3 linked regions of the Caenorhabditis elegans genome follow. Changing the gene in region 3 together with the main gene of any one other region gives a genetic interaction. Each region holds a gene or a part of one and is shown on either strand. Other genes may lie near its edges. The genes, in order: bar-1, mab-5 and pry-1.

Region 1 (10,398 bases), on a different chromosome or scaffold from region 3:
TTGTAACACAAACATTAGCACTGACAATGAAGAGTGGCACTGAAGACTAACACTAACACAATCATTCTCCCCTTCGCCGCGCCAGTTTATAGCTTTGCGATTGACAATTGATTATTGAGAGTTCATCTCTTTCCCATCTACTCCTCCCCTTCTTTCAGCTTTTCGCCCACATTGTCTCTTCCTCTTTCTCTCACCTTCGTTCAGTTTGTGAGATATATGTGGCAATTCAGATTGCTCAATAAAAGTGGGTGAATTTTGGTGAAGAGTCTTCACTTCACTGACCTTTGCACAAACGACTTTACATTCGTAGACCTCCGCTGACATTAGAACTCACACAATCTCTTCACTGACTTATCCAATCCACTGTGCAGTTTTGAATCACATTTAAAATTTTTATGGGGATTTGAAAATTTTCATCTTCTCACAATCAGTTTTATGATCATGATTTATAAATTGAAGGCGTTTGCGAATAAAATAATAATTATTCAAACCAGAATTTGAAACAAATAACTTTCTATTATGAAAAATGTGTGCACTTTAGGTTTGAAATTTTCAAAGTTTTCTTTTTTTTTAAATCATATGATCAAGTCTATATACTTTGGCATTCTTAGCAAAGCCGTGTCAAAACCCACTCCAATCATTTGTGCCTTTAACCCGACATGTCAAGCTTTAGAAAAAAATATAATAATTTAAGACGAAAGCAATATTGTATGCCATTCACGTAATTCGGGATCAAGCTCCAGTCTTAAAATGTTTTTGTTTTTGATCCTCTGCTTTGTTTGAAGTTTCAATCATTTTAATAATACATATCAGTTTCAAATGTGACAACATTCGTTTTAATCAATTGGTTACATCAAGAACTGTTGCCGTTTTTGCTATTTCTTTTTCTCATTAAATCCTCTTCATTTTCAATTTTCTCTCTGTCTATTAGTTCCACAAACGACCTTATCAATCTCCCAAACATTTAGCGTCGACAGTCGACACACACACACACACATACAAGCGACACTAAAAAATTGCACTAAAATGTTTTTACCCTTCTTTTCAATTTTTGCTTAGGCGCTAGAAGATGGAAAAGGGGCAATTGTAATGTACTCGCCGAGAAACAGAATAATGGATAATTTTTCATGTTGTCCTCGTGCCCTGCTGAGGGGATAGACAGATTGGACGCTACTGTCCGGTCGGTGATTCCTATCGTACTTCCCTCAAAAAGAGGTTCAAGATGGTATTTCTCACCTCCAACAATTATCTTCCTTACTTTCGATGATATCCTCATGTTTTATATTTTTAGTGTTCATTACGCGCGAAAAATTTACTGCAATAAAAAATAAACACAACAAAAAAAGGAGATGAAGACAGAAGGAAACATGATGAATCCTTCATTCTTATCGTCAATCTTTTTGCTGAAAAATGTCTATCTTTTTACCGTCTCCCATGAATTTTGATCTCCATTGTTTTTTTTTTCTGTAGTTCTTTATAATCTATAATAACAATCGCATGGTCACATGGGCGCGCTGCAAGGTGCGATTTGTTCTGAAATAACCGGGACACGTGGCCATTCAGAAATAATTGTAACAGTTATTTTATCCGGTTTTCATGAAATACCGAAATAATTTGTTTTGTTTTCAATCCGGAAAAACTAAAATTTGAAATGGAAGTACCAAAATACTTCTTCTATGAGGCTCTACGGCCAAAAATATTATATTAATTTTTAGGTAATGTTCCAAATGGAGTTTGAGGTGGCAATAATTTGAAGATAATATTCATTGCGTTTGTTGGTGTCCAACAAGTTTTCAAATAAATAATCACGTAGAATTTTGAAGAAAAAATTAAAGCACTTATTCTGACAACTGTATATTTACGTATCTACTTTTTTTCGAATTATTATATTAGTTCAGTTACTTCCAAATGAACACTGCAACATTCCACTGCGTCTTATTCTTTTCTTCAAAATTGATAATATGTATCATTATCATGTGTTAAAATTTTCATTTCTCGCAATCTTTACTTATCATCTTTTTAGAAACCCAACTTTGGAATATTGACGCCTGTATTGAAAAATTGGTGAAGGATTGAAAAATTTCAGTTAAAAAAAGTTATTTTTTTATGAGATCCTTTTTGCAATAGTCATAAATAACACACATTGCAAGTTAAAATAACTTTTGAGGTTAAAAATGTTTTTTTTTAGCACAAGACGGAAGCACTGATTTTTTAAATATTCCAATTTCCTGTAAGATTTTGAAATGTTAAATGATGTCTTTATGAAAGATTGCTCATAAGGAGAACACTGTTATCAGTAAACCCCCGACATGGAGCACCCGTTGCAACACTTTTCTCCATTTCTTAAACAAACTATTCTTCTTTTATTGCTTTTTCTCGACGTAATTTCACTTTTTTCCGGTTGTAAAATAATAATATATTATAAGTTTTTACAACTTAAAAAATAAATTGAGCAAAAACTTTTTCAGAATAGTATGAAAGATAGTTAATTCATTAATATAATTTTTAAGTTGTAGTCTTTATGACATTGTGTACATAACAAGTAAATGCAATTTGTCTGTGAAAGTGTTTAAATGTACAAACAATAGGCAACTCATACCCACTAAATGAGTCATTAACGTGTCCTTCAAAAAATCAAAGTTCATAGTATTGGAAAACAGGATAAAAAGTCATATTAATGATGATGCTTTTCTTCAGCGGAAATAAAAAAAAACCTTTTCAAAAGTGTATCATGAAAATTAGCAATTGATCCATTGCATGAAACAATAAAAAAAACATAATTTATAGTAGTGAACTCCAATAAAATTATAATAAATAACAATCAAAGTTTTGCTTAAATAATTTGAATGCCAGAAACTTAGCCTGAAAGAAAATTAACTTTTTTTTATCATTCACAGTTTGCAATTTTATCCTGCAATTTGAAAGTTAACACAATTTTTAAAAATTATTTTTAAGGTTGTACTCTTGGTTATTCTAATTTGCCATGATTAACACTTTCCTATTGACCAAACTTTTGTCTAAAATGAATAATCCTGATAACGATTCTGTCTAACGGAAACCAAATGATGGCTTGTTTGATTTTCCACTAGAAACCTTTTGAAAAACAGCAAATCTGGGTCGTTATGCTGATATGATATAAATGAATAAGAAAATAAAGAAGAATAAAAATGAAGGACTTGATAAATAAGAGTCGACTAATTATCCCAACTGATAATTTACGACTAAGCTATCCCATTTCTATTTTCTCTCCCAGCCTTCCCAGTTCTCCTCCCAAATACATCCTTATCAAAGTTGTTTCCCCCGTCTTTCCCGTTTGTTCATTTCAAACCCACAACTGATGACTGTGTGCCTTCTCGTTTCACCACAGATAATCATTATTATTGAAACATACCTCTAAATTTTATTAGCCAATTTCACACCTTTGGCTGCTCACTCACTGATAGGTGATTGAAAGCACGAAAGAAAATGGGTTGAATAATGCGAGCGGGACGGGCAAGGGGATGGGAATGATTGGGGGTGAAATAGAAGCCATCTGATATCAATAGCCCTTTACTCTAGGTTAGGTACAAACCGCTCATTTCTATTATTGCTTTTTCTTCATTACACAAGCCTTAGACTCTCTATCTCACTATTTCACCGCCCCATCACCACACACTCTTTCTTGTGCCCAGCAGGAAGATTTGTAATGTTTTCAAACATTTTGTTCATTCAGTTTTTTCACTGCTTTTTCCTATTTTTTCTCTTCATCCGGCAGACAAATCGTTTTTCTTGTTCGAATTGATTCATAAAAAAATATTTGGCTTTTTTTTTCAGAAAACTGGGATGGACCTGGATCCGAACCTAGTTATTAACCATGACGACACAAATTTATCAGAGGCATCTTTTACAATGTAAGTTTTTTTGATTGAACGAGCCTGCAAATTTGAGGAAAAGAAACAATTTATTTTGATGTTGGGAGTTATCAAAAAAAAAATTTTAAAACTGTTTTAAAATATTTTTTACAGGGAGCAACACACCTCGAGCTATTCGGATATACACATGGGCTCAACGCCCTGCACCGGCCACCGCAAGGTGGATATGTGGCGGAATCACAACTTTGATAGCGGTTTCCAAACAATGAATCACAGTGAGGTACGAGAAAACAGAGGAGAGATAGACACACACACACAACAAAGATTAATGTGTTTCAATTTCAGGCTCCATCTATTATATCATCTCTACATCCGTCATCGCATCTTTCCGGAATGTCATCCATGGCCGACTATGAGCCGATCCCCACTCTTTCAGATCAAGTAAGACCATTTCATATCAAAATGCGCTGGTGGACAAAATTGTTATTTTTCTTCCAGCAAAAACAAAAGTTTGATGGGATCACGCAAAATCAAGCGGATGGGCAGTATAACACAGTTCGAGCAATTCCAGAACTCACTATGCTTATGAAAGATCAGGATAATGTAAGATTTTTTTGTTCAAAACTTTTTTGAAATATTCATACTCATAATTTCACAATATATGAATTAAAAAAATCCTCGGTTTTGACCTATTTTTTATATTTTAATTATATTCAAACATCTTGTATTCCAACATGCAACAATGCTCGAAATGTTACAAATTTTTGGAAAACTTAGCAACTTATCAGAACTGTGACTGAAATTTTTGAAAAAAAAACTTTAAAAAATTAGAAACGTATGTCTACTATTACTATTATTACTATTACTATTACTATTACTACTATTACTGGACTACTATTATTTCATTTAGGTATAATATGATGTTAATTGATTTTTAACTTTCAATTACTCAAAATAAATTATCAAATCTACAGTAAGAAAAATATTTAGTCGAATTTATTCACTTAAATTTTCAAATCACAAAATCTGAAATTAAACTATGAACTTTTGATTTCAGTACTGATATTAACACAAAGATAAATTGGTTCTAATGCTGCTTACTGATGAAGCCGGTGTTTGAACTTTTGATTGTTTGTAACATTTAAAATCGATTATCAAAATTGAAGTATCTGGAAAAAATTTAAAAAAATTGATTGTTCTGCTGAAAAAAACATTATTCAAACAAAAATCTTACAGGAGGTTGTGCACAAAGCTGTAATTCTGATGCAAAATATTGCGAAGATGGAGTGTGACCCAATGCGACGGCAAAATGAAGCTCGAATTGTGGACCCCCGTGTTATATTTACACTGCGTGATCTTCTCCGTGACAAAGTTGAATTCCCGGTATAGCTTGTGCACTTGCACAGTTTAATACATCATATATTTTCAGAACATCATTCGTTGCACTTTGGGAACATTCTTCCACATTTGCAACCGACAGGAAGGAATTGATCTTGTCACTCGAGCGATCGCAGAACAACCTGATATAATTCCAAATCTTATTAGGCATATTGGGTAAGAAAGTTAAATTTCAGAAAAAAATCATTCAAATAGCTGTTACAGTACTTATCCAAGTTCAATATACAAATATGCCATTCTTACTATGCATTCGATTCTGTCCGATAAGCAGAGAGGCGGACAAAGTGTGATCATTGCGCGTCAACAAGATGCGATTACTGTAAGATTAAAGAAGAAAAAAAATTGAAAAAAAAAAATTTACAAAAAATTGCAGCATGTGACTCCGTGGTTAGAAGCGGAGAAATCAGAAAAACTTCTTCCAGTGATAGTTGACTTGATCAGAGTTTTGTGTGAAAAGAACACCGAACAGAAAATCAAGTTTGTGAAAATGGGAGGACCTCAAAAACTGCTCATGCTACTACAACACAGAGTTTATGAAAATTTGCTTTGGCGAACTACGCAACTTTTGAAAACATTTTCGAACTTTGTAAGAAATATTTGAAACTGAAGGATGTAATGTCTGAACTTTTCCAGGACGCTCCAAATCTTGTTGCTTTTGGTGGTCGCCAAATTCTCGCCAATCTTCTTTCACATGGTAGTCCGCGACTTGTACAATCAACCCTTGAAACTTTGCGAAATATAAGTGACGTACCAAGCAAAATAAAAGAAGATTTACTTTTGAAATCTCTTCTGGAGCTGGTCAATTCTCGAAATACAACAATCCGTCTATATTCTGCTCAGATAATGTCAAATCTAGTTGCAAACAACAGGCATAACAAGGTGCTTTTGTCAGAAATCAAGATATAGTATTAATTTTAATTCCAGGAGTTTATGTGTGGCAACAATGGGGTTGTCATTCTTGTGAGAGCTTTAACAATTGCCACCAAAGAGATGGGTGACTTGAGAGATAAAGAAGCACAGCAAATGGAGGATTATATTGTAATAACATTTAAATTTCAAAGCTTAACAATACGGTTTTCAGGAAAGCCTAATTTGCACGCTACGGCATCTCTGTGTTGGACATCCAATGTCAGATAAGGTCCAAGCATTTGTTTTCCGAGATCCTGCATTATTTCTACACAAATTGTTAACAATGAGACCAGTATTGCTGAAACACACATTGAGTGTAAGTCATTAATTTGAAGGGCTAATAAGAAATTGAGATTTAATTTAGCTCCTGCTGAAAGTTGTATCCCAACATGCCCTTCTTGCTCCATTCCGATCATGCCGAATTGGAGATAAAGGTTTTGTTGAGCAACTCATTCATATTTTGAGAGTGGCATGTACCCAGCTGAATGTGGTAAGTAAAAAGTCAACAAACCGACTAATAATTGTTGGATTTCAAGCAAGAATCTATCGAAGGTGTCCGCGTGAAAGATATCATTCATCTTTGTATTCAAATCCTGCGATGGATTACAAGAGACCAGGACATTCTCAACGAGGTATTAATGTTTTCAGGTTGAAAACCCAAATTTCAATTTATAGGTTGTTTTCTTCCTGCAAACTCCTGAAAATAGCCGAATGGGCGATGGTCATACTCTTCCAATTTTTGTATTACAAAAAGCCAACGTTGAAGAGAACACGAAATCATCGGCTCTGGCCTTGATTTATAATTTGATGCATCATGAGCAAATGGCAAACGTACTTGACAGAGATGACGTTCTTGTTAAAATGCTTCAAAATGTTCAAATGCAATCTCAAACTCACCCTGAATTAGGTAACGTTGCACACCAATAGACAAGTAGAACTGAAAATTTACAGCAAGTCTAGCAAATAATATTCTCAAGATGATGTATGAGAAGCGAGAAAAGACAAGGAATACTCTTCCAAGATACAATTCATATTTAGAGGTAACACAAAATGGGGGATAACTCTAAGAAAAAGTCAGTATTACAGAGCCAATTTGGTCACATGAGCATGACCACCCCACGAAGCGAAGCACTAAATAGTAGCGGTGAAGTGTGTGAGGGAGCTGGAGAGCAATGGTCTACACCTTTAACAGATGATACTATGATGGATTCGTATTGCAACAGCTCCGGACGAGATTCATCAAGTAAGATATAAGATGACAATTTAATTTGCTCTAGGAAGCTAATCAAATTTAACAAATAACTTTCGGCCATTTTGACATTTGCCGGATGTCAAAATTTTGAAGATGTCTTTAGAAAAGCAGTTTAAAATATAAGCTCAACAAAGATATATGTTCGATAATTTTCAAAGCTTCGGCAACACGATTGTTCGTTGCCGAAAACTTCCCGAAGTTTTTATATATTGCCAACTTTGATAAACGCAGGATTCCAAAGATTCTATCTACATACATAGTTTTGCTTACCATTGTGAGAGCGAAAAAAAAACTTAGGAAAATTGTTATAGATGTAATTTTTCAACTTTTTTAAAATAACAATCAAAATTTGACAATTATTCATTTTACATAGTTACCCATTTTTTGGAAGTAAAAATTGTTTAAATGTGAAATGAAGGTTTTTAATTAACGTATTTGCTCTATAAGTGGGGGTGCCAAAACTTTTTGAAAGAATACATATATTTCGTAATATTTTATTTCGGCTGTATGATTGTTTTGTTTTTTTCTTAAGATTATTTTACTAAACTTTTCACTGACGCTACTCCACCTTCGAATTGGATTGAGACAATATACTATTAAAGAAACTATGAACCTAGAACCAAAAACAAATATTTCTTCAGAACCATACAACTCACCAATGTACCATTCCCCACCAGCAATGTATCCAGAATACTCAATTGGACCTCCCGAGACGTACTTGGATCCCCATGCCACAGCATCTTGTTATCCGCGACCAACGCCTCCTCAATATAACAGCTATGACCGTAGTCCACCAGTTTACAACGACCTTCCATCAAACCCTGGTCCGAGTAGTCATTCGTCTGATTATTATCCTTCTAGGAATAGTCGATTTTAATTTTTTAATTATAACATAGACCCCCACACTTTCCACCACCCCAGTCGGATATTTGTTGCACATTCCTTGAAAATGAGATTCTAATTATTTGTATACGGGTTCATGAATTGGCATGCAAAATATGTTGAATAAAGTGAATTTTTATTGAATTTCAATTTCAGAAAGTGTGTCAGATAAGAAAATTTTTATAAAAATAACAACTATTATTTACAAATTATGAATTCCAGATTCAGAGTGTAGTTTTTGCATGCCAAAACAAATTCATTTACGTCATTTGATTCATTTCGTAGTAGATACCCTTCAAGTTGATAAGCTGCTCATGGCTACCTTCCTCGGCAATTTCTCCATGAACAATAACGTATATTTTGTCGACGTTTCGAATTGTTGATAAACGATGAGCGACTGGAAAAAAAACATTTTTCCCGTTAGAGATTTGCCAATTCTCGTGACGTACTGGCTGAGAGTTTAAACCGCATTAAATATTACTTTTCAGTTTCAATATACTAATTCTTACTTTGAATACACGTGCATTGAGTCTTCGTACTCCTCTTGACTCGTTCAAAAGCGTTTTGAACTTCTCTCTCGCTGGCGCTATCCAATGCCGATGTTGCCTCATCTAACAGTAGAACAGTTGGTTTTCTGATAATTGCACGGGCAATTGCAATTCTTTGTTTTTGACCGCCAGAGAGCTGGGCACCAAACTCTCCAACCTCTGTGTCGTAGCCCTAAATTGCTTTGTTTTAATGTGTTTTATTTTTAAACTCACCTGTGGTAAACTAGTGATAAAATTATGAATGTCCGCAATCTTTGCAGCTTCGATAACTTTATCAATTGTTGCTTCGCTTTCCATCATTCCAAAAGCAATATTTTCCTAAGAACAAGAACATTTTATTGTGATTTTGATAAATGGTTAAAGATACCTTGATGGTGAAAGAGAAAAGATCAGGTTCCTGGCCGACTTGTACAATGCATCTTCTTAAATAGGCCGGGTTTATAGATTTGATGTTGTACTTGTCAATGATAACAACACCATCCGTGGCGTTGTACATTCGTTGGAACAAAGAAATCACCGAGGATTTACCGGACCCGGAAGGTCCTACAAGTGCAATTGATTCTCCACCCCTGACCTTTAAGTTGATCGTTGAAATTCGATGCAAAAAAGGTACTTATGGGTTTCGTTCCCCTCAATATGTTTTCCATAATTTTTGATAGAGACGTGAACTTTTTTTCATTCTCAGGCTTAGGAAGATGGTTTCCTAAGCCTGAAAATGAAAATAGTATTAAAATAAACTTTCACGTGTGGATTAAAATTAAAAATTCAGTATTAAATAATTAAAAGAACATTTTGGGGGAACGAAACCCATAAGTATTAAAAAAAACACTGACCTTCAAGTTCAAGTTAGTCAACACTGGTACAATGGGTCTTGAAGGATATCTGAACGAAACATCCTTAAGACAGAGGTTTCCTTCCAGCTTCTAAAATAGAAAACTTGTATTTCCTTGGCTTAGTTAATAATTTTACCGGTCTTAAGCCTTCCTCTGATAAGTTATCCATGTCAACGGGTGGTTCTCTTATCACCCTCATAACGTTTTCAGCTGCAATCTGCGCTTTGGTAAAGTCACTGACAGATGCGATGAGTTGTGAGAAGAAATTGGCACCAAACTGAGTGAGCAGAACAACTCTTAAATGACATTTTCTTATTTTTATGTTTCTGCTGATCTGTTCTGGTTACCTCATATAATCAAATACACTAATTTCGTTTGCCAGCATCATCACTTTTCCAAAGTGAAGAGTAATTGCAATAAGGATATAGGTGAACGAGTATTGACATGCAAAAACAAGAGCAGAAATAAGGGATTGTTTTTGCATACATCTGAAAATCAAATTTTAGAACTAAATCAACCGATTACTGTACTCACTGTGATACTGGTTTTAAAGCATCGCAAAAAACGTTATAAAAATGAGATTGTAGATTGTATGCTTTGATTGTACTCATGTTTGCAAGCACCACGGACGCTAAGTTAGCAGCTTTTTTTTCTTCATCCACCATTTGTCTTTGTCTGAAATACACTTTTGAAACGGACTAAATTTAATGGACTGGCTACCTCTT
Region 2 (11,265 bases), on a different chromosome or scaffold from region 3:
TTTTCAATGCTTATCAGTAGCCATATTATTTGGCCTCAAAATCAATTGTCATCAATACTTTCCTCGTGGCACTAAAATTTCAGTTCTTCAATCAAATAACAAGAATTTTTCAACACACAACTGAAAACACCCGAAACAAAATGACAAACCAAATACAAAAAGTTATACTGAAAAGGTTTGAAACCCGTTAAAAAAATTGCACATAGTTCTACTGGTAGGGCGAGCGGGAGGCGCACTCGTCACACACGTGATAAGTTTTTATTGTACTCAGTGAATGCAATGACATTATTTAAAGGGCTATTTTTATAATTAACTATCATAAACAGTCCACAAATTTTTGAAAATATCACACATTTTAGCAAAAGTTGTTCGGTTCCCGAACTTCGGTATACGGAACAACTTATTTCAAGGTTTAGAAAATATTGAAAACTTAGTTGAAACACAAATTTACAACTAAAAACTAATGAAAGAATGTTCATATTCCATGCCTTACTCATCCTCTTTCTCTATTCTTGGAAACTTCAAAAGGCGCCGCCCGTTTCATTTTCCTTGCCTCCTCTCTTTGCCTCCCGTTTTTCCTCATTCCGTTCTCGGCCTAACCACTGCATTTTTGAATTCCAGGTGGTCTTCCTTTTCGTTCTTTTTTCATTTTTTCTTTGTCGGTTAGAGATGAAAAGGATATGCGGTGACTAATAGGCGGAAAATTCAATGGATCACGAATCTGAAATTAAACGGTTTTTAGGGCAGCTAATATTGTTGTGCAGCAGATTTAGGGAGGAGGAAATTTAAATTCAAACATTTTGAGTTACATGATGTTGCACTAATTTTCTAATTAAAAACATTTTTTGAGACTTCGTCGCTTAGACTTAACGAAACAATTGTCGATATATCTTTAAAAAGCAGACGTTCTTATGTCAGTGTCCCTATGTGCCTATAAAATGCCTACAATATTCTTACCGGTCTTATGTGTTTGCAAAATTACATTTTCGATGTTTTCTTTCAGTAGGTTCAGAACGGAGATACCGGATCAGGCTTCGTTCGACAAGTTCTAACTATTTAGTCTGTGCGGCAATTTGCCACTGGCCATGCTCTGAAAATGATTTAAACAAACTTTCTATAACCCCAAATTTTATAATTTTGAGATATTGGAGATTTTAGTTAAGTTTAACCTTTTTTCATAATTTTGAACAACCGTTAAGAAACTATAGTTTTTTTAAGTATCGTAATGAAATTCGGTATTTTTGAGATTCTAGGTAGCACCAGCAAACAGTAAAATTTCAAATTAAATAATTTATATTCACATAGATTTTTGGCAAGATATGAACTGCTTTTAATAGCTAGAGAAATGAGTTTCTGATTAACATAAAACTTAATTTTTGATCTCGCCTTCTTGTCAATTTTATTTCACTTCAATTTTATTCACTTATACCTTATTTTTGAATTTATTGAAAAATGTAAATATATCAGAATGATGGTACCGCACCATTATAATATGTTTTGGCATTTTCTTTGCAAACTCTCGCGATTTCCTGTCAACGTGAGTGTAACAACTGAGTTTCTAGTATTTAACTCTTGATGTTTCTAGTTCACTTATAATAACTTTGGAAATGCAAACACATTAATTTTTCTGATTATTTCAAAGTCTGCTTCTCCTATTACCACCATCTCATTTTTTTTCACACTTCCCATTCAATTGAAATGAATGGAAGTGGGTGTGGAAAAGTCGAAAAAATCCTCGTTTTTTGTTCTATGCAGAAAGCATCAAGCATTAGCAATTGAGACGATTGAAAAAAAGCAAGCCGCAGAGCTCTCTCGACCAACCCGCAACCAATCGAAAAAATAGATGAAGTAGACTAATTATGTGGGGTGTTGATGGGCACGAGAATTAGGCGGAACCCACTGAACCAATATTCGGGATGATTTTGTGGGTAAGAATTTGTTTTATTTGTGAGAGCTGGGAGAATTTGAATGCTACTGCTCCTTTAGAAACAATATGTTTTATGGAAGAAAGTGTGTGTGAAAAAAAGTTGAAAGTGGTAACGAAGGTTTTAAAATTATATTTATGTACTCAAATCACAAATGACTCATTAAACGGTCGGAGTTAAGTTGTTATTTGATTTTCACTCTTTTTTGCATATTTTAATTATTTCTTTTGATTTTTCTATTAACTAGGTACATCTTCGGTAGATGGGTGCACAAATTTTTTAACTTTAATTTTTTCATTTCATGAAATTTTAATTTTCCGATAATTTTCCCATCTCCTCTTTTCACGACTAATCAATTTTTCAGATAGTGAAGGGCTATTATTATTCAACAGATACGTTTTTTAACGTTTTAATATTTTATCGGTTCTAGAAATTTTGATCCTTTTCATTTGATTCTTTTGATTACTTTGTTTCAAGAGTTCCAAATACATTGAACATACAAATGTCATTTTCTAACCTTTCTAATTTTCTGCAAGACTTCAATTTTTTCAAGTTCGGGACTTGAATAATACAGATATAGCATTTTGTTTTAAATTGTAGATTTAAATATATAATATCAAACAAATTTTTTAAAAAACCATATTAATTTTGAAAAAATGACAACTTCTAATCGAATTATTTTTTTAATTTATACTTTTGCTTAATTTCGTAAAATTTTTATTTTCATTCGAAAATTAAATGCCAGAACTCATTATTTGAATCATATTTTCCAATTTTCACAAATCTACAATAAGATGTCATCTCTGTAGGATAAGCCCTCTCAAATGCCATTGTAAATGACATCTAAACCAAATGCTAAATAGAAGCTCTTGACTTGGAATCTTAATAACTAAAATATTATGATTTCTACCATAAAATGCTACTCATCATTGCCTTCCCAGTCTTTTCATGCTCCTCCCAATTTCTCCGATTGGTTTCCCCATTTCCCGTCAACGCCCGGAGACTCCGCCCATTCACACGTTGTTCGCATCGACCAGTCGGCCGCCGGGGGGCCCCACCAATATTTCATCAGGCGCCCTCAACATATTTCAATTCTCCGATTGATTTCTCTTCTTTATATTCGAATATATATCTTAATTAATGCGTCAATGCCCCGTTTATTGGTTTTTAGTTACGGGACTCATTGGATACTTTATAATATTAGGTTCCAAAGAGAAACTGGAAGAGAGAGAGAAGGGCTTAATGTAATGGCATTAAAGATTGATAATGTGACAAATGATAAATTGATACGGTAATATGTAATGGACATTAGTCACTAAAAGATATTTATAGACCAAACCTCATGATTATCAAATAATGAGGAGTACTGTAGGGGTTTTGGAATGCTTATTTGGTTTAATGGAAGTCATTATTACCATTTTTATTGATAAACTTCTAGAGTGAAGGTAAAACAAAATAAATTTCATTAGACAATTTATTTCACTTTAAATATGCTCGATATTTCTTATCAAATGTCTAGCTTTAGAAATAAACATTTTATTTACTTGTAATTGTTTTTATTTTTAGTATTACTGACTTTGTCGAATATGTTGCTTTTAGAAAAAAACGTAATGTTAAAACATTCTGTATAGAAAATATTTCATAATATCAGAAATAGTTTAAATTGCAACTTTTGGTATTAAATAGTTATAGAATAAACGCTTTTAAATTGATCATTTGATAACTTTAAAACAATATTAATCAGTTGTTCACCATATATTATTTTTAACAGTTTTAAAAACTTGCCTTCTACAGCTTAATGTGTCATAATTAATTTTCATATTATTGTGCTTATTGATTTGAAAAATTATCTTATTTAGTGTTCACTGAGATGGGCTTTATACTTATGACGTTGAAACAAACCTGATATATTATTTCCTCAATTATTCAAGTTGTATTCTATATGGCACCATTTTTTCCTCCATCTTGCTCTCATTGCTCTTTCCATGCTCCTTCCGTGCTCCCTACTTTTTCTCTATCTTCCCATATTCTCACCCCTCAATTACCATTTCAATTTCAGAAATCCGCACCTTTTTGCCGTCTTCCATCACGCATCTACTCATCCCCTCAACTCAATCCGTCGGCAAATGAGCATGTATCCTGGATGGACAGGCGACGATTCGTACTGGGCGGGCGCCGGCACAACGGCTTCTTCTCAATCCGCATCATCCGGCACATCTGCTTCAGCATCGTCTAGTGCTGCCGCTGCTGCTGCTGCCAATAATTTGAAAGTGTGTGTTTCAGAGTTTAAATGAAAAATTTTAGGTTTTAGTTGAAATAAGTTCAAATATTTTGGGTCGAAAATTAATTACGGAAAATATGGGGAAAACCCTACAAAAATGAATTTCAATTTTTAAAATACTCTATAGTTTTCAAATTTTCCAGATTAAAAAATTAATAAAAAATTCATTTAAAAATATCAAGAAATATTCACCCTTGTTTTGAAAAACTTTGAAAGTATTTCGCAACGTCCCATTACTAAACTTCAAACTATTTTCAGACCTACGAACTCTACAATCACACCTACATGAACAATATGAAACATATGCTTGCTGCCGGTTGGATGGATAATTCATCAAATCCGTAAGTTTCTTGAAATAAAATTTTTGGAGCGAGAAAAAAATGTTGCGAAATAAAACAAAGTTTGCTGTAAAATTTTAAGATTTTTGCTAAGCGTTCCAGGTTTCACAACTTCCTTTTTAACATTGATTCAAAGAAAAATCAACAAGAAAATTTAAATTTCAGTTTTTGAAAGAAGTTCTCAGTCCGGTTTCCAAAAAATCAATAGTTTCATTGCAACAAAAACATTGAGTTCGTTTTTTTAAAATATGTCTTTCGGAAATGTTTAAAAGATTTCGGATTTCTTTAAAAAAATATGTTCACTCCAATTTTATTTACAAGCACTCTCTAATGCATTTGAATTTCAACATGAATATTTTATCTTTAATATTTTTCCATAATAAAAAAAAAGCAATTTTCGATCATCAAGCCTATAGCCATTTTCAAATGAAAACTCAATTGTTGTAAATTTCTCACAGGTTTTTCATTATCTTATTTTAATTAATGATTGAAGTTTTGAATAAGGGAACTTTGGCAGGATGCGTGCAGAAGAGCAACAAGGCAGGCAAAGGTCGCCTTGAAGACAGGAACAAAAACATATTAAAATGATGAATAAGAGTATTTGGAAATTCGAAATATTTTTTTTCCATATTCAAATAAGCGAATTAACTTACCACAAAATTTAGGATCCAACTTAAAATATTTTCAGATTCGCCTATAACCCACTTCAAGCAACATCTGCAAATTTTGGTGAAACTAGAACTTCAATGCCAGCAATCTCGCAACCAGTATTTCCATGGATGAAGATGGGCGGTTAGTTTACAGTTTCTCATTTTCACTTTTAAACTCGTATTTCCATTTTCACTATTTGATCTCATAAAAATGTCAAAACAAGACAAACATATGGGTCATTCTTCTACATTTTAATGTAATTTCGGATTGGTTGTTACTCGGTAATGACCGCCAAATAGGTGTGAAGATAGACATGCGCGCAAGAGGGGAGGTCCTAGAGAGAGGGGCACACTTTTTCGATTCTTATCTTCAGACTTTCATGGCGGTATAATATTAAAGAGAAAAAGAAGGAGAAAAACAAAAAATATGGCGACAAGTCGGTGTCTCTTTTGGATCCTTTTTCTCTAAATCGCGGCGGGAAAAGGACGGAATTTTTTGATTTATTTATGATACACGCTGGGTGGTTAACGGGGAAATGGTCATGAATAGGATAAAGTTTTATATTTTAATGGGTTTACAGTCAACACTGTTTGCCTAATGTTGCTAGTTATAAGTCTCAAGTTTTGGTAGTTTTTAGTTTTGAAAGTTCAAAGTTTCAGAAAAAAAAATCTACCGGCCTTTTAATATAAGTTTTGATTAACTTTTGGGTTATGAATTTTTCGAACAACTGCATGCAATATTCTATTTCCAATATTCCAAAACTCAGTCAAAATTTGAAACTTCAAAAACACTGCAGAAAACAATATCGATTTGAACTGTACAAAAATTTTAATGTCATTACCGGATTAGTGCATCTCATAAATGGTTGTTCAACTTTTTCCAGAACTTACTGACATGCCGTCCATTTTGATTTTACGTCTTAAATTTTATACTTTTTTTTAATTTTTGAAATATACAAAATACAATCTTTGGTGTCACAGTATAAATTCAATGCTCTTGTAATTATTTCCAAATTGATAATAGTTTGAAAAAATGTGTTTGATTTCATTCAGTTACTTTTAATTTCGATAATTTTTTCACAGTCAGTTCAAAACACGAGAGACAGGCTTCTCTGTTACATTTCTCTTTCTCTTCCTTCGGAGTTTTTTTCGTTCTCTTTCATTTTTTGACCGAAACCAGAGAAAAGCATGAGAAAAGAAGACGGAGAAAATGGAAGATACACGTAAATACGAGAGAATCTTTGTCTTGTTTCACTTTCTCTCTCTTTTACTCTCTCTGTCTTTCCCGAATCATTTATTTTCCTTGGTGCTTTGAAGTTTGCCGCCGTGCCAGAAAACCCACGAATTCGAGCCCTAAGCACAAGAGAAAGTGGGGGTCCGTATCGAAGTTGTAAATTGTCAATTGATTTATTCATTTTTGACCTCCTCCACAATCCGAACACAAGAACAAGTTGTACTAGGAACAACAACACCAACTTGTCAAAATGTTTGCGGTTCGTGTGCAGAGAGAGATGACCTGAGCATCGGATGTTTTATGACTTGATGCTGCAACAGCTGCTTCACAGGATGCTCCACGCAAAAGAGCAGAAACACGGGCGGTTTGTCATCACGTTCTTCTAATCCGATGATTTACGGTGGATATTCATTTGATATATAGCAGAGGGAAGAAGAAACGAAATTGACTGACAAGTTCAGACGACACCGGATTAGGAGGATCATACGGTGTAAAGTTGAGGCATCGTGTCTAAATTCCCTTCTGTCGTCTTATCAAAATATTATACGATAGACTGATAGAAATATGTTGCTTGGAATTTTCGCTTGTAAATTTTTAAAATGGAATTTTTCCCGTAATATTCAAAGTCAAAAAATATACATACCTGCACATCGCCTATTTTCTTCACTCATGAGCACCCCAAACGTTTAAGATAAGATAATAACGTTTTGACATGCTTTTTACAGTCGTACTCTTTGTTAAACCCATGCACCGTATTTTTCCTATTAGTCTGATACAATTTCTCAGAAAATTTCTTGTCTCTTTGTGTCAACTTTTCAATAGATTGTAAACAATCGATGATCATCTAGCTAAATTGTTGAAAAGATATATTGCGAACTTACAAAAAACTGATTTTCCGATTCAAATTTCATCTAAAATTCAGTATTTTATTGCACTAATCAAAATACATTGATTCTTAAACTGGAAACTTTGTCAAAAATTGACCATGAAGCTTCACCACATCACAAATTGCATGTAATTTTTCAAGATTATCAATATGTTACCATTTTCTTTTCAATGTCTTTTTCTTCTTCCGTTAGTCATTAATTTGCAATTAGTTTCTTTCGTTCATTCAGTTTTCCCCATTAACTTTTTTTGATTGATGCCCAGATTGGAGAAGTACAGTAATCCTCCCGTTTTTTCTCTCTGTGCCTCAAAACTTTCTAATCGAAACTGAAATCTAACAGAAAATAGAAGATTTCCCAAAAAATGAGAACAGGTTGAATCGAACAAGCGTTGTACTTCTGGGTGGTATTGTTTGTTGTTGAAGTTCAAATTATTATGAAAGGGAGTTTGAGCACGGATCTACCGTAATACAGTAGTTTTGATATGTCTTGTGTGTTTAGGGTTTTCCGGATAAAGAGGACAGATGGTTGAATTTCAATGAGGTATAGATGAACCAGGGTAGAAAAGAGTGAGTGTGTTGCAAAGAGAAAAATTGGAAATTGAAAAGTGAGAGAGAGTGTGAGCAGACATAGAGAGCGGACTACGGTAGTTTGAAAATACTAACCTATTGATTATTATGGTTTTGAAACATTTTTCTAATATTAGAGTAATTACAACTTGGTCAGCCGTTATTTTATCCATATCTTTTATCCAATAAAAACAAGAATTTATCCAAGAAAATATACCTAAATATAAAAACTCATTGCACTTTTTTTAAGAGCAATTGCATTTTTGTGTAGGTGTATATATGTTTCCGGTAGCTGGTTTAAAAATGTTAACTTCGAACCTTTGTTGTTTCTGCAAACTATATCTCGCGGGCCCCAATTAATGTTATTCCTTTTTATTCTCGTAACATTGTCGCAACTTTATACCTAAAAACCTTCCTTCACTGTATGCCGATAATTCTTATTATCTTAGTGTCTACTGTTTAAAATTAAAAATTCAAGGATCGTAATGGAAAAGTGGGAGAGAAAAAATGTCTAACTATATATAATATAAAACTGATTACTTGATAGTCCTTGAAAAATTTATATTCCATATTATACACAGTAATAGCTATTACCTTCAGCGAGTTTGTGATAATTTTCATTCTCCCTGTTGAAACATTTTATTAGAACATAAAGTTCCGCGAATTAAGCTTTCTCGATCATTACGCCATCGTTGTTAATTTATTAATTGTTTGGATATCATTTGGAAAGTGTGATGATCGAGAAATAGACCGCCCGGAACAGCAACTGTTATGAAGTCGGTGCGACGATAAGACAAAGAGAATTCGCGGCAATAATGAAATACGACATGGCTGGGGAACAACAACTGACCACGACCAATCAAATTGCGTCAGGGGTGGGATAGGATTACTGTATTTGATGGGGAAGGTTTATTTCTTAATTATTATTATTTGTTGACAGCTTTCGTTCTTAGGTGTTAATGGATTTGTAACCATGTAATCTTGAGACAGTTAGCATTTTTCAATTTATAATATTTCAGGTGCAAAAGGTGGAGAATCAAAACGCACTCGTCAGACATATTCAAGAAGTCAAACATTGGAATTAGAAAAGGAATTTCATTATCACAAATACTTGACTAGGAAACGTCGGCAAGAAATTTCAGAAACATTGCATTTGACTGAAAGACAAGTAAGTCTCACTACCAGATTTCACAGAAGTTATTTTAGGAAAATAATTTTGTATATTTTCTTGGCAATTACTCAATTTTCATAATTTTGGAAGAAAACCAAAAAATGTATTCGATTAAAAAAAATCTATTTGTATTTAAGCATTGTTGGGCATCACTTTCAAACAATTTTCTAACTTCTCGAAAAATCAATATTGTCACAAATTTGGCAATTTACCAAAACCAAAGACTAAACATTTTGGAAAAAATCAACACCAATTTAAAGTTACTCATTTTAAATTTCAGTATTTTGAACTAATGTTTTGTATAATTTGGAAAACCCACGCAACTCTAAATTTTAGTTTATATGGCAATAAACAAAATAACAACAGTTGTACCAAAATTTCTTGGTCAGACTTCTGAACACATTTTAGAACAATTATAGTATTTTTTTATTTTTCATACACTCAAAATATTGACAAAAAGTTTGTTCACTTCTAGTCTTTTCCAAAAGAAAATTCCAAAATTTTTTTGAGGTGGCTCGAATTTTTTCAAGCCTAAATTATCATAAGAACGTGTAATAACTACCGACAGATTTAATGCATAATGAATGATGATTTATTTTAAACAAGAATAGGGAATTATTCTTCAATTTTTTAAAATAATTTTTCTATTAAAAAGTTTTAATGGTTTTTTCGAAAATTCTTATTGCAAACACAATTTTAAAACCAAAAATTGTAGTTTCTTACTGATAATCTAGATAACAAAAAAGCAAAGTAGAATAATCACGTGGAGTCAAAAAGTCCCATTTTGCTTTGATCTTCGAAAAAATGCGGGAGAAGTGACGCAGACATCTGATCTGATTTCGCATGGTTAAGACTGTGCTGACGTCACAATTTTTCTGGGAAAATATTCCCGCATTTTTCGTAGATCAAACCGCAATGAGACAGCCTGACACCACGTGAATAATCTGTTTTGTTTTAATAAATAAGTATTTAATAGATACAATTAACTTTTTGCAGGTAAAAATCTGGTTCCAAAATCGTCGTATGAAACACAAAAAAGAGGCAAAAGGAGAAGGTGGAAGCAATGAATCAGATGAAGAATCAAATCAAGATGAGCAAAATGAACAACATTCTTCTTGATTTTCACTTTTTTTGGTCAGAATCTAATTTGAATTTCTTTTTACCTCGTTTCCGGTCGCTTTTCATTGTTTTGCTCCCATTTTTGTCATTTTCCTTTGATTTTTTGCATTCTTCATCGGTGATATATTGCTTTTAAACGACCTGAAAGGATTCCACGCCCTTTCGACGGGTCTTTGTTTTTATTGATTATTTCTCAATTTCTTCCTTTGCTTCTTTGGGATTTGATGATCTCAACCTTTGTCTCGAAAATTGTTTTTTACACACTGCTAGCCTATTTTTTGATTTTTTTTTCTTGAAAATTTTTCTACAGTAACATATCTGTTTGCTTTGATTTTTGGAGATGAAATTGATCTGTCATTATGTTTCACAGAGGACCTCACAAATTGAAGGACATTTGTGAAACGACACATATTTCACTGTGCCAGATGCAAAAGAAGATTGTTGATATACCATGTAGTTATAAAAAAGTGAACTGAGTTACGTCACACTAAAAAATTATATCGTCGATTTCTAATGAACATAAGAATCTGTAAAACTGGGCCACAAAGTGTGAATATGTACTGGATGATTGGTAGTAAAGCTTCATTGATTGCCTCCAAATAATACCTTAGTAACACTTGAAACTTTAGAAATAATTATATAAACCTGAAAATATCTTTTCTACAGTACCTCGCAAAGAAACTGCAGGTTTGAGATGTCCAATTTCTCGGAAAGTTGATTAGCTTTTTTAATTTTTTTAAAATTTAGTCATTGATTCACTGGTACTAACTAAATATCTCTGTGAAAATAAATGTATTTTTTGTTACTCATCTTTAAAAATTCGTCAACCAGGTTTATTCTTTTGCAAGTTCAAATATTTGTATATACTTTTGCAAGTTCAAATATTTGAGCAATATTGACTCCTTTTTTTATTAAGGAGTCAATATTGCTCAAATATTTGAACATTGGCATTATTTTCCGAAGTAGAAACATAATTAAATACTTTATGCGTTTTAGAAGGATCTATCGATGGTAAATAGTATAAATGCTGCATTTCGAACAAATAGTCAGCGAACTACGGTAGATGAGAGAGTACGCAATGAACATAATGCATT
Region 3 (11,429 bases):
ATTTTTTTTTTATTTCTTTTTGTGTTTTGCCGCCAATTTTTTTCGTTCTTCTCATGATTACCCCCCTCTGAACCTTTTTAAAAAATAAAAATCAGCGGCTGTCTACGTCTCAGGGATATCAAATGAGACGGAATTAAAGTGGCTCATTTGAGTTTTATAGGTTTTCGGGGAGAATTGATTCCTGGGAGCTTTTCCTCCACTGCTTTTCATTGCTTTTTTGTTGTGGGAACACTCTGCAACAAATTTGGTGGTGAAAACCTGAAAATTTAGCAATTTTCTCATTGGGGCGCATTTGCAACATACCAATTTGAATTTTCAATAGGAAAACTTGTTTCTCTTGTTTTCACATTAACTTCTATCGATTCCTTTTAAATTTTCGCTGAACCGTGATTTTCCAGCAATTTCGCGGGAATTTGAATTTTTAGTTCGAAATTGCACTTTTTTGGTTTTAGCAAAACTGGTAAATAAATATAACAGTTTAAATTGTTGGTTTTGTTGGAAAATCACAAGAAAAATCGATTTTCCAGTTATTTTCTCATTGGGGCGCGTTTGCATTATGCGGTCCGCGAGAATTTAAATTTTTTAAAAAGAAAACTTGTTTTTCGAATAAGTTTAAGACAATTTGCGCTCAAAAAATAGCTAAATGCGTGAAAATTCCAGTAAAAACTCAGTTTTTGCGTATTTTCTCATTGGGGCGCACTTGCAACGTGCGGTCGGCATGAATTTGAATTTTCATAAAGAAAACTTTGTTTTTAGGTGTTTTAAAACACAACTTTTAGTTAAAAATGGTTAGTTGAGTTCAAATATCTTGGAAAAAACATTGTTTACGTATTTTCTCAATGGGGCGCACTTGCAGCTCACGGTCAGTGGAAATTCAAATTTTTGAGTTTAAATTTTAGTTAATTAGGTTTAAAGAAAACTTTCATTTTCAAAAATAACAAAATGTGCTCAAATACCCCCTCAAAATCAAAATTATCCTATTTTTCTCATTAGAGCGCACTTGCAGCTTGCGATCGGCGGGAATTTTTTTTTATATTTTTAAGTTTAAAATTGAGTTTTTCGGGTGTTTTGAAATGCGGTTAATTTAGTTCCCTTAAAATTTAAACGAAAAAAAAAAGGTTTTTGCATACTTTCTCAATGGGGCGTACTTGCAGATTGGCGGGAATTCTAATTTTCAACTAAAAAAAACCGAGTTTTTTGCATACTTTCCCATAATTCCCCTATCATTTTCTTCATTTCTAGACCGAAAAAAAAAAGATTTGTGAAGATCTCCGCCAATAAAAAACATCAAAAAGTGCCGCTTCTTCAAGGTTTTTCACAATTTTTGGCGGCGGGGAGAGGAGGCGCAGCAAGTCGGAGTGGACGGCGGGCTGGAGAGAAATATGAATAAATCGACAAGACGCAGGCACGTGTCGGCGAACATCAAAGAGTCGCTGGTTTTGAAGAAGGGGGCGCCTCCATTCTCACACCGACCGCCCGAGAAGAAGAGAGAGGAGGCACTTCACCCCCCAATTCTCTTTTCCTTCTCCTTTTCTCTTTACCCCCCTTGATTTTCCTACCCCCATCTTTTTCCTAAATCCTTCTGTTTTACCCATTTTCCTTTTTAGACCATCTTTGGGACTATAATATTTGCTTTGAAAACTGGAAAATTATATGAAAAATCCAGTTTTTAAATTTATTTTAGGCTCAGTTTAGGCCAAACTATTTTAGGTCTTTTTTAGGCGTAAAAATTTGAAAATTTTTAGACTCGGTTTAGGTCAAACCATTTCATGGCCAAATTTCGGCTTGAAATCTAAAAAAAATTACGGTAAAATCTTATTTTTTGAAATGTTTGAAAACTCAAAATATTCCAAGAAAAAAAAAACTAGTTTTACAACATTTTTCTGGGTTTTCTTAAAATCCTTGTTGGGCTAAGAAATTTTAAACTAAGAAATTTTGCTGAAATCTTAAAAAAATTGTGTTGTTTGAGGTTTACTGGCCAAATTTTAGACTTTTTTTTTAATGGCGATAATTTCAAAAAAATCAAGTTTTTACAGCGTCACATTTTTTAAACATTTTTTAAGCTTAAACTATGAGATAGCAAAAAATTGTCTACTAACAAAATAATTACCGTAAAATTTCCTACATTTTATTAATAGCCAACTTTTCGATTGCTTCAGGCTCCACAGAGTTATAACGGTTTGAACTCAAGAGGCGCTAGGCTCCTTTTAACTTCAAACCTCTATAACTCTACAAATAAAAAAGCTAGCAAAAAATTGTTAACTATCAAAATAATTATCATAAACTTTCCTACATTTTATTTATTGGAAACTTTTTGATACCGTCATTTTCTGCAGAATTACAGGATTTTGAACTTGACCTCTACGCCTCCCTTGGCCCCCAGTTTTAACTTAAACCCCTATAACTCTGCACACAATGGTGCTAGCAAAACATTTGAACTGACAAAATAATTGCTATAAAACGTCCTACAATATGCTAGTTAACAACTTTTTGATGGCATCAGTCTCCGCAGAGTTACAGCTATTTGAACTTGACCTCTAAGCCTCCCTTGGCCCCCAGTTCCAACCTAAAAGCTCCATAACTCCGCAGAGAGCAGAGCTAGCAAAAAGTTGTCAACTAACAAAATAATCTACGTACAATTTTCTACATATATTCAATTTAAATTTTTCTGCTAGACCAACTTACCAGCAAGATCAACGCCCCTAAAGTTAGGGGCCCCTCCCGGTAGCCGGTCGAGCGTCCCCAGTAAACTCTTCCGGGGGCACCCGAAACAATGTTCACTCATCAATCGTTGTCATCTTTCTGGAGACATGTGTCTTATCTGTGTGTGTGTACTACTACTCTTCCCAATACACCCCATTACTCTCCGTCACTATCTCTGCGTCTCTCACCCCCGCCACTCTCTCGCTCTCGCCCATTCATTGAGTAAGCGAGGGGCCTCATTCCTTGATTATCAGCCACTGATAGGAACAATAAGACACCCATAGTTGTTCCATTTTTGCAATTAGAGAGGGAATAGTGACGCTTATAATATATTGTATATCCTATATCTTATCACAGTTTTTTTTTTTTTTTTTTGTGTATAGTTTTGGCCTATTTTATAGGTTTTGAGGGGGTCAAACTGCTAAGTTTAAATAAAATTTGTTTAATTTTCAGTAAAAGCGTCATTAGAAAAGTTTTGAACAAAAAATTGAAAAAAAAAATTTTGGCAAAAAAATTATTTTTTTAAAATTTTTTCAAAAAAAAATTTCCCTCGATTTTTCAAGTTTTTCTCTACTTTTTTTTTTGAATATTCTCTTATTTCAACATAATCATAAAATTCACCTCCTTTTCAGGTGCATGGAGACCCATCTCGGTTGGGCGCGAAGCCTGGAGGCCGTTCTATCCGATCGATCGGCACTCGACGCGTTTCAGGAATGGCTTATTGAGTACTCCTCGCCTCAGGTAACTTTTTTTTTGGGATTTTTCTGCGAAATTTGGATTTAGCTTGCCGAGAGCTTCAAAATAAGTATAATCATGACATTTTTACGATGATTTTGAAAATTTTTAGGTTTTGGCGCAAAATTTTTAGATTTTCTTTTGCTGCGGGACCCAAAGTTCCAATATTTGAAATTTTTACTTGTTTTCGGATGTAGCTTGTCAAGAGCTTCAAGATGAGTATAATTATGCCTAGGTTACTTCAAACTTGAAAGAATCTGGGTCTCACCGCGAAGGTTATTACTGTAGTCCCAAATTTTCGTGGCGAGACCCTAATTTTTCAACCTTTGCGGAACCTGGACATCATTATACTTATCTAAAAGCTGACAGCGAGCTGACTTCGAATTTTATAGTTTTGCAGGCGAAATCATAATTTTGTGAGAATTTTGACCAGTTACAAGGAAAGTCTGCGATTTCACGTTTTTTCGAAAATTTTTTGCGAAAATTTCAACTTTTTTTAATTTTCGAGATAAATTTCTCATAATTTAATCAATCTTTTCATGCGCTTTTGGAAAAGCATAATCATGACCACGTTTCGCAAAACGTTGGGTCCCACCACGCAACCCATGGGGTTCTGTAGTTGTTTGTCGTTGTGGGACCCCATAAAAATTAAATTTATTGAAATTCATACACAGCATCCTGAGAGCTTTGAAATAAGTATAATAGTCTAGGTTCCGTCAAAAAAAAGTTGGGTCTCACCACGAAATCTACTACTGTGGCCCCACATTTTCGTGGCGAGACCCAATTTTTTCAAACTTGACGGAACTCATGCATGATTATACTTATTTCAAAGCTCTCAGCAAGCTAAATTCAAATATTGACTTTAAATTTCCGAATTCTCTAAAAAAATAAGAAATTTTCAGTACCTCGACTTGTTCTTCGCAATCCGAGCATACGAACGAATGGCGTTGGAGGGAAAACCGGAGGTATTGATTTTTTTGCAACTTTTTTGGCAAATCGGGCAATATTTATCTATTTTTTTTAGAAATCCCAACTTTCCAAGTCAATATACTCGAAATTTTTGTCCTCTCGGACCGGAAACTGCGAAGCAATTCCCAAGCATTTTAGGGCTCCGGTAAGCTTTTCTTAAAATTTTTTAAAATCAAAAATTAATTTTTGGATTGGTGAAAAACTACGTCATGGCACCGAATTAGAGGATCGGGTATTCAGTCATTGTTCGAATTTTGTTCAAGAATTTTTAAGACGCCAACACGAGGAGTTTGTGGGCTCCGAAGAGTTTATTGAGGCTTTTAATAAGGTAAATTGTTTTTTTTTTTAATTGTGAAAATTTGAATTTAGCTCACTGAGAGCTTTAAAATAAGTATAATCATGCCTAAGTTCCGTCAAATTTGATAGAAGTTGGGTCTCACCACGAAAACCTACAGTAACCCAGGATTTTCTTGGCGAGACCGAGGTTGTTTGGAAAATTTACAGAATTTGCGAAACCTATGCATTCTTAATGTAATATCGGCGGTCTCAGTTCAGATTTTCAGAATTTTGGCGAAAATTTTAGGGTTTTCCAACAATTGGGTCCTACGACGAAATTTTTCCGGTGCCTAACTTTTTGAATTTTGATTCTTTGCAATTTTTATTTACAAAATTAAACTCAATTGACTGAAAGCTTCAAAATAAGTATAATCATGCTTAGGTTCCGTTAAGTTTGAGAAAAGTTGGGTCTCGCCACGAAATGTATTACTGTAGCCCCAAATTTTCGTGGCGGGACCCAACTTTTGTCAAATTCAACCAAACCTAGGCATGATTATACTTATTTGAAAGCTCTTTCTAAGCTAAATTGAATTTTTATAGTCACAGTGTGAAAAATTTGAAAACCGAGAAGTTGGGTCCCACCACGAAAGGGTTACTGTAGGTTTTCGTGGCGAGACCCAATTCTAATAGAACCCAGACATGATTATACTTATTCGAAAGCTATTTTTAAGCTGAATTTGAATTTTAGCATTTTACGTATCTTATCGCAATTCTGAAAAAAATTTCCAATCCCAAAAACTAAAAACCCCAATTCCAGATGTCATCTACCACCGCCGACCAGCTCCCGGGAGGCTCCGCCCACCATTCATCACACCAAAACACCATGAGAAGGTCGTCAGGCACTACCTCCCGTAAAAGTGCCGCACAAATCGCCACCCAGCTCACAGCTGAGGCCCTCCTAAAATCGAAACACGACAGGCACAGCAAACTTGGAGAAACGTAAGTCGCCTACCTACCCTACCTATTTAAATTTGAATTTTTTTTAGAAAACTTGAGAAAATGTACCCACCGACACGTCAACCATACGTATGCAACGCCACTACCTCACACAACGACTCGGCTGTCAGCTCGACGTTTTCTGGGGACACGCCCGAAGCCCATAGGATGCATAGTAATAGGTAGGTGATTTTGGTTAATGTATTTGAATTAAGCTTGTTGAGAGCTTTTAAATAAGTATAATTATGCCTAGGTTCCGATAAAATTGGGTCCCGGCACGAAAATCTACACTAACCTTTTCGTCGTGAGACCCTACTTGGCAGTTTTCAGATTTTTTACTTTTAAATTGTGATAGCTGAGCTCAACTTACCAAGAGTTTCAAAACAAGCATAAACATGCCCAGGTTCCGTTAAAATTGGGTCCCGCCACGAAAACCCCGAGTTACTGTTGGTAGGTTTTCGTGGCGAGACCCAAATTTTTTCAAACTTAACTGAACCTAGGCATTATTATACTTGTTAGAAAGCTCGTTACAAGCTGAACTTTAATTTCAAATTTTTAGGGTTCAATAAATTATTTCTGAAAAAAATCGCGACGAGACCCAAATTAAGCTTATTTTTTTGAAAATTGTATTTTTTTGAAAACCTTAAATTTTAGTGTTGAGAGCTATTACTACAAAAAAACCAAAAGTTTTCGCGGTAAGACCCTAAAATTTTGAAAATTTTCAGGCCATGGCATGATTATACTTATTTTGAAGCTCTCAGTGAGCTTATATCAAATTTTTATCTAAAAGTGTCTAATTTCCAGACTCCGCCATATCCGAGACGAACAAGCCCGCGAGAATCACGGTACCATGACACTGCCACGTGTCGAAAAAGCCAGCGTCGATGGTCAGCAATGGGATCATTCTTCTGAATCAGGAAGAAGAAATTTTGCAATGGAAATCACCAGAAAACTGCTTAGGCATATTGATAAGGTTAAGCTAAATGATGAGATGGAGAAGAGGATTGACGATATCGAAGAGTGTCGGTATACGGTAGGTTTTTCAGTTTCGAGTTTTAGGCTTTGAATTTGTAAAATTTGAAATCAGCACGCCGAGAGCTTCAAAATATGTATAATCATGACTAGGTTTCGCCAAGTTTGAAAAATTTTGGGTCCCACCACGAAAATGTGGGGTTACAGTAATACCTTTCGTGGTGGGACCCACATTTTTTAAAACTTGACGGAACCTAGGCATGATTATACTTATTTTGAAGCTCTCAACAAGCTGAGTTTGAATTTGTAATTTTTAAAGTGAAATTCAAAGAATTTTAGGGTCCCACCACGAAATCGTACTTCGCGGCAGGACCCAACTTTCTTCAATTTTGCAATTTTGCTTGGAAACTTATAAATTGGAGCTAACTTTGCTCATAGCTTCAAAATAAGTATAAACATGTCTAGGATCCGTTTTATTTAAATATTCCTGGTTTAAGCGTACAGTAACCCTAGATTTTCGTGGCGAGACCCACTATTTTTCAAATTCAACTAAACTTGAGCATGATTATACTTATTTTGAAGCTCTTTACAAGCTGAGCATGTTTTTTTAGTTATCTAGTCACCACTGCAAAATTTGGATTTTTTGGGTCCCACCACGACTACAGTAACCCTGGATTTTCGTGGCGAGACCCATTATTTTTTGAATTCAACTGAAATAGGGCATGTTTATACTTATTTTAAAGCTCTTATCAAGCTGACTTCAATTTTCAAATTAATTTTTCAGACAATCGACATGGTAAACGGCACGGAGCCCAACGACGATCTGGGGAAAATCGATGAGGACGAGGAGTTGGATGATTATCTGAAAATGAAAATGACAGATGATTCCCAAAAAGGATCAACAAATCGATCACCTAAAGGCCCAGCAGGAGAGCCCAACAAATCTGGAGAAGGATCGAAAAATAGTGAGTTCCCATGCTCCGGTACCATATGTCGGGTTATTCTCATGAAGGGATTAATATTACTAATAGGTGTTAGAATTGGAATAGCTGTTAGTAAACATCTTAATGACAAAAATATTTGTCAGGGAACGTTTTTTTTTAGTTCGAATCTATGAAAATTAAAAATAAAAAAATTTTTGAAATTTTTTTTGAGCAAAAACTTTTTTCTCCAAAATTAATAAATTTAATTATTGAAATTATTAAAATCACGTCTGCCTCATTGAGAGCTTCAAAATAAGTACCAACATGCCTAGGTTTTCTTGATTTTGGGTTCCGCCACGAAAATGGGTGTTGTAGCTTTTCGTGGTGAGAACCAACAACTACAAAATGACATTTTTGCTTTAAAACTACAAAATGCAAGCTCAGCTCACCTAGAGCTTCAAAATAGGTATAATCATGGCTAGGTTCGGTGAAATTTGAAAATTGTTGGGTCTCGTCACGAAATGTATTACTGTAGCCCCAAATTTTCGTGCCGAGACCCAAAAATCTTCTAATTTGACGAAACCTAGGCATGTTTATACTCGTTTTAAAGCTCTTGACGAGCTGAAAAAAAAAATTACTAAAACTGTAAAAGTTTTAAATTTTAAATATCTTTCGTGGTAAGACCCAAATTTCTGAAATTTCAAAAAAAAATCCAGTATTTTTATATTTCCAGTCAATTTTCAAACTCAGCTCGTTCAGAGCTTCAAAATAAGTATAATCATGCCTAGGTTTGGTGAAATTTGGAAATTTTTGGGTCTCACCACGAAAGTTATTACTGTAGCCCCAAATTTTCGTGGCGGGACCCAACTTTTTTCAAACTAGACGGAACCTAAGCATGTTTATACGTATTTTGAAGCTCTTCATGAGCTGAATTCAAATTTCCAATTTATAATATTTTCCAGCCACCCTCTCCCCAACCAATCGTGCTCCCGCTCAGCTCCACAACACAATTCGGGTCCCGAGACGAAAAGATTACCCCCGGGACACCTCGGCTTCTCTAAAATCTCATCGTCACCATCAAATCGACACAAATCGAATGATGAGCCAATCAATGTGCGCTCCATCGTACTCCTCAGCCAGCTCCTCCTACAGTAGGGACTCCTTCGCGCCGGCGCCCACTACCAGGGTGAATTTTGCTCCGGGGAGCAGCAAATCGAGTCAATTCTATGATTCTTCGGGAATTGGGTCTATGGCACCGTCGGCGTTCTCCGCCACTTCGTCACTGGATTATAAGGATCGGAGGCAGCACAGAAAGGCTCCAACGCCTAAGAAGCACTCGAAAATTGGGAAAAATTTGTCGAATTTGATAACTATTAGCTATTTAGGTAAGGTTTCATTTTTTTATACAAAAAAAAGTGAAAAAAAAAATTTTACAAATTTTTTTTTGAAAATTTTTTTGAACTTTTTTTTCAGATTTTCTATGTTTCTAGGGTAGATTTTACCCTAAATTTTATATTTTCTAACATTTTAACTCAAATTTTTTTCCAGGAACCGATAAAATCCCTGTGGTAACACATGTCCCTAACGATGGACCAATGACGTTGGCGGAGTTCAAGAGGCACTTTGCTCTGCCAAATGGAGCACATCAGTGAGTTTTTTTTTGGGTTTAAACTGGGAAAATATTGATTTTAGGTTGATTTGGAAGTTTTTGGAAAATTTTGAAAAAAAAAATTTTTGCTCAAAAATATTTTTTTTTGGAAAAACAAATTTCCAAAAATTTTCAAAAATTTTTTTTTTCAAAATTCTCAAAAACGTTATTTCTCAATTAATATGGTATAAATGTTCCCAAAATTGCATAAAACCATAAAAATGTACTATTTTCCTCCCTAAACCCCAGAAATTTCCAGACTATTCTTCAAAACCGAATGTGAGGATGGCTCCGCCCCTTTTCAGCTTTTGCTCATTAAAGATGAGCATCACCTTTTACCAGTCTTTGAGGTAATTATTAATCTTATTATTGGACTGCAAAAAAAATTCCAAAAAAAATTTTTTTTTTCAGGGTCGAATTGCCGCCGAGCTCCGATAGTGGGATTATCGATTTTTGAAAACGATTTTTTTTTTCATTTTTCTGAATTTTAATATCATACACACAACCTACAAAACAGAACACAGGTCCATAAATTTATTTCGTGATCTTAAATTTTTTTTTTGAATTTCAAGTTTTCAAAAAAAAAATTTCAAAAATTTTTTTATTAAATAATATATGTATATTTCAATAAAAGTGAACAATGAGATGTAGGAATGTTGAAAAAACCAAAAAAAAAATCAGGAAAAATCAAGGAACACTTCGAAAAAATGCGTTCTGCGCCAACATATGGATCACCCGGGTGTCCTTTTTCGGGTTCCGTCGCCCGTCTATGCAAAGGTACATGGACCAGAGAAGTACCATTAGTATGGAAATGATGACGTAGGCAAAGCTGAAAAAATTTGAGAGTTTTTGGTGAAAACTAGACTTTGAAAGCTCGAAAATTGACAGAGTTACGGGGGTTTTGAAGGATTTCGTGGTAGGACCCAAATTTTGCATAATTTTTGATTTTTTCAAATCAAAACATTTTTTTTTGAAGAAAATTGAATTCAGCTCTCCGAGAGCTTTCAAATAAATATAATCATGCCTAGAATCCGTCAAGTTTGGAAAAAGTTGGGAAAACCTACAGTAACCCATTTGTGCTGGGTCCCAACTCGCTCAGTTTTGAAATTTTTATTTGGAAACTAAAAAATTTAAGTTTAAATCGCCGGGAGCTTTTAAATAAATATAATCATGCCTAGATTCCAATGAATTTGAAAAAAGTAGGGTCCCACCACGAAATTGATTACTGTAGCCTCAAATTTTCGTGGTGGGACCCACATTCAGCGGAATATAGGCATGATTATACTTATTTCAAAGCTCTCGGCAAGATACACACAATTTCCACAATATTAACATTTTGGGTCTTATCTGGAATACATTACTGTAGGTTTTCGTGGTGGGACCCGAAATTTTTGAAATTTCTTTAAAAATTATTCAAACCATGACATGATTATACTTATTTTAAAGCTCTAATCCTCCTGATTCCAAATTTCGTAATAAAATTCAAAAATGTTTTGGGTCTCGCCACGAAATCCTGAAAAATCGCCGAAAACTACTCACCTAACATACGAAACGACCTGCTCACGTGTCCAAGAGCCAAAAAACGACTGATCCTCGATTTTCTCATCCATGCATTGGTTCTGAATCGGGAGAAATAATTTAAAAAATTCAGAAAAAAATTGGGGAAATTTTGAAAAAGAAGGAGGTGAGGCAAAAAAATCTGATATTTTTTCGAAATTTTTTTTTTCCGGGAAGAAAAACTAAAATAAATCATAACTTCCTATTATTGTTTTCCTTCAATTTTCTCGTCAATTTCCACTCAATAAGTAACGTGTCAAACTGAGTGGCACCTCTCACCGGGTGGTAACTTGGGGAAAACAAAGGAGCAATTTTGTTTTCAAAATATTTTTTTCGAAACTGGGATTTTTATGAAGTAAAGTAGATTTTCAAATTCAGCATACTGAGAGCTTCAAAATGCGTATAATAATGCCTAGGTTCTGCCAAATTTGAAGAAAGTTGGGTCCCGCCACGAAAATTCAGAGCTACAGTAAGACTTTCGTGGCGAGACCCAACTTTACTTAAATTCGGCGGATTCTAGGCATGATTATACTTATTTTGAAGCTCACAAGAAGCTGTATTCAAACTCCTCTAGAAAAATAAAGAATTTTTAAATTTTGCAAAAATTGGGTCTCGAAGCGAAAAATTACTTCAAAGATCGGTTTCTACTA

Evidence for each region.
Region 1: of pry-1 (region 3) and bar-1, changing one suppresses a phenotype caused by changing the other (phenotypic suppression), as found in Caenorhabditis elegans (one study listed by BioGRID).
Region 2: of pry-1 (region 3) and mab-5, changing one suppresses a phenotype caused by changing the other (phenotypic suppression), as found in Caenorhabditis elegans (one study listed by BioGRID).

The regions. Positions count from the first base shown.
Region 1 is NC_003284.9:7,164,041-7,174,438, reverse strand, and holds bar-1 (Beta-catenin/armadillo-related protein 1), read left to right. Parts: upstream 1-3,813; 5' UTR 3,814-3,822; coding exon 3,823-3,890; intron 3,891-4,004; coding exon 4,005-4,131; intron 4,132-4,196; coding exon 4,197-4,292; intron 4,293-4,349; coding exon 4,350-4,454; intron 4,455-5,087; coding exon 5,088-5,234; intron 5,235-5,280; coding exon 5,281-5,405; intron 5,406-5,453; coding exon 5,454-5,568; intron 5,569-5,622; coding exon 5,623-5,835; intron 5,836-5,882; coding exon 5,883-6,128; intron 6,129-6,173; coding exon 6,174-6,287; intron 6,288-6,330; coding exon 6,331-6,474; intron 6,475-6,522; coding exon 6,523-6,648; intron 6,649-6,694; coding exon 6,695-6,790; intron 6,791-6,833; coding exon 6,834-7,065; intron 7,066-7,109; coding exon 7,110-7,198; intron 7,199-7,244; coding exon 7,245-7,401; intron 7,402-8,051; coding exon 8,052-8,287; 3' UTR 8,288-8,434; downstream 8,435-10,398. Other genes in the region: pgp-10 (P-GlycoProtein related), read right to left, coding at 8,553-8,689, 8,802-9,012, 9,054-9,158, 9,208-9,414, 9,674-9,763, 9,810-9,969, 10,021-10,161, 10,208-10,348 and 1 more.
Region 2 is NC_003281.10:7,776,175-7,787,439, reverse strand, and holds mab-5 (Homeobox protein mab-5), read left to right. Parts: upstream 1-3,985; 5' UTR 3,986-4,051; coding exon 4,052-4,195; intron 4,196-4,464; coding exon 4,465-4,547; intron 4,548-5,232; coding exon 5,233-5,336; intron 5,337-8,900; coding exon 8,901-9,049; intron 9,050-10,048; coding exon 10,049-10,171; 3' UTR 10,172-10,605; downstream 10,606-11,265. UniProt on the Caenorhabditis elegans protein: Transcription factor that binds to the promoter region of the transcription factor lin-39 to repress its expression in Q neuroblasts and thereby direct left Q neuroblast (QL) daughter cell migration.
Region 3 is NC_003279.8:14,171,267-14,182,695, reverse strand, and holds pry-1 (Axin-like protein pry-1), read left to right. Parts: upstream 1-3,335; 5' UTR 3,336-3,339; coding exon 3,340-3,444; intron 3,445-4,340; coding exon 4,341-4,403; intron 4,404-4,462; coding exon 4,463-4,552; intron 4,553-4,597; coding exon 4,598-4,735; intron 4,736-5,185; exon of another isoform or gene 5,186-5,258; intron 5,259-5,500; coding exon 5,501-5,682; intron 5,683-5,729; coding exon 5,730-5,861; intron 5,862-6,483; coding exon 6,484-6,712; intron 6,713-7,435; coding exon 7,436-7,616; intron 7,617-8,536; coding exon 8,537-8,959; intron 8,960-9,122; coding exon 9,123-9,222; intron 9,223-9,481; coding exon 9,482-9,572; intron 9,573-9,633; coding exon 9,634-9,660; 3' UTR 9,661-9,868; downstream 9,869-11,429. Other genes in the region: C37A5.11 (Very-long-chain 3-oxoacyl-CoA synthase), read right to left, coding at 9,910-10,051, 10,762-10,832. UniProt on the Caenorhabditis elegans protein: Works in parallel with axl-1 in negatively regulating bar-1 signaling in vulval precursor cells and Q neuroblasts. Inhibits Wnt signaling, which affects tissue specific expression of Hox genes, egl-5, lin-39 and mab-5.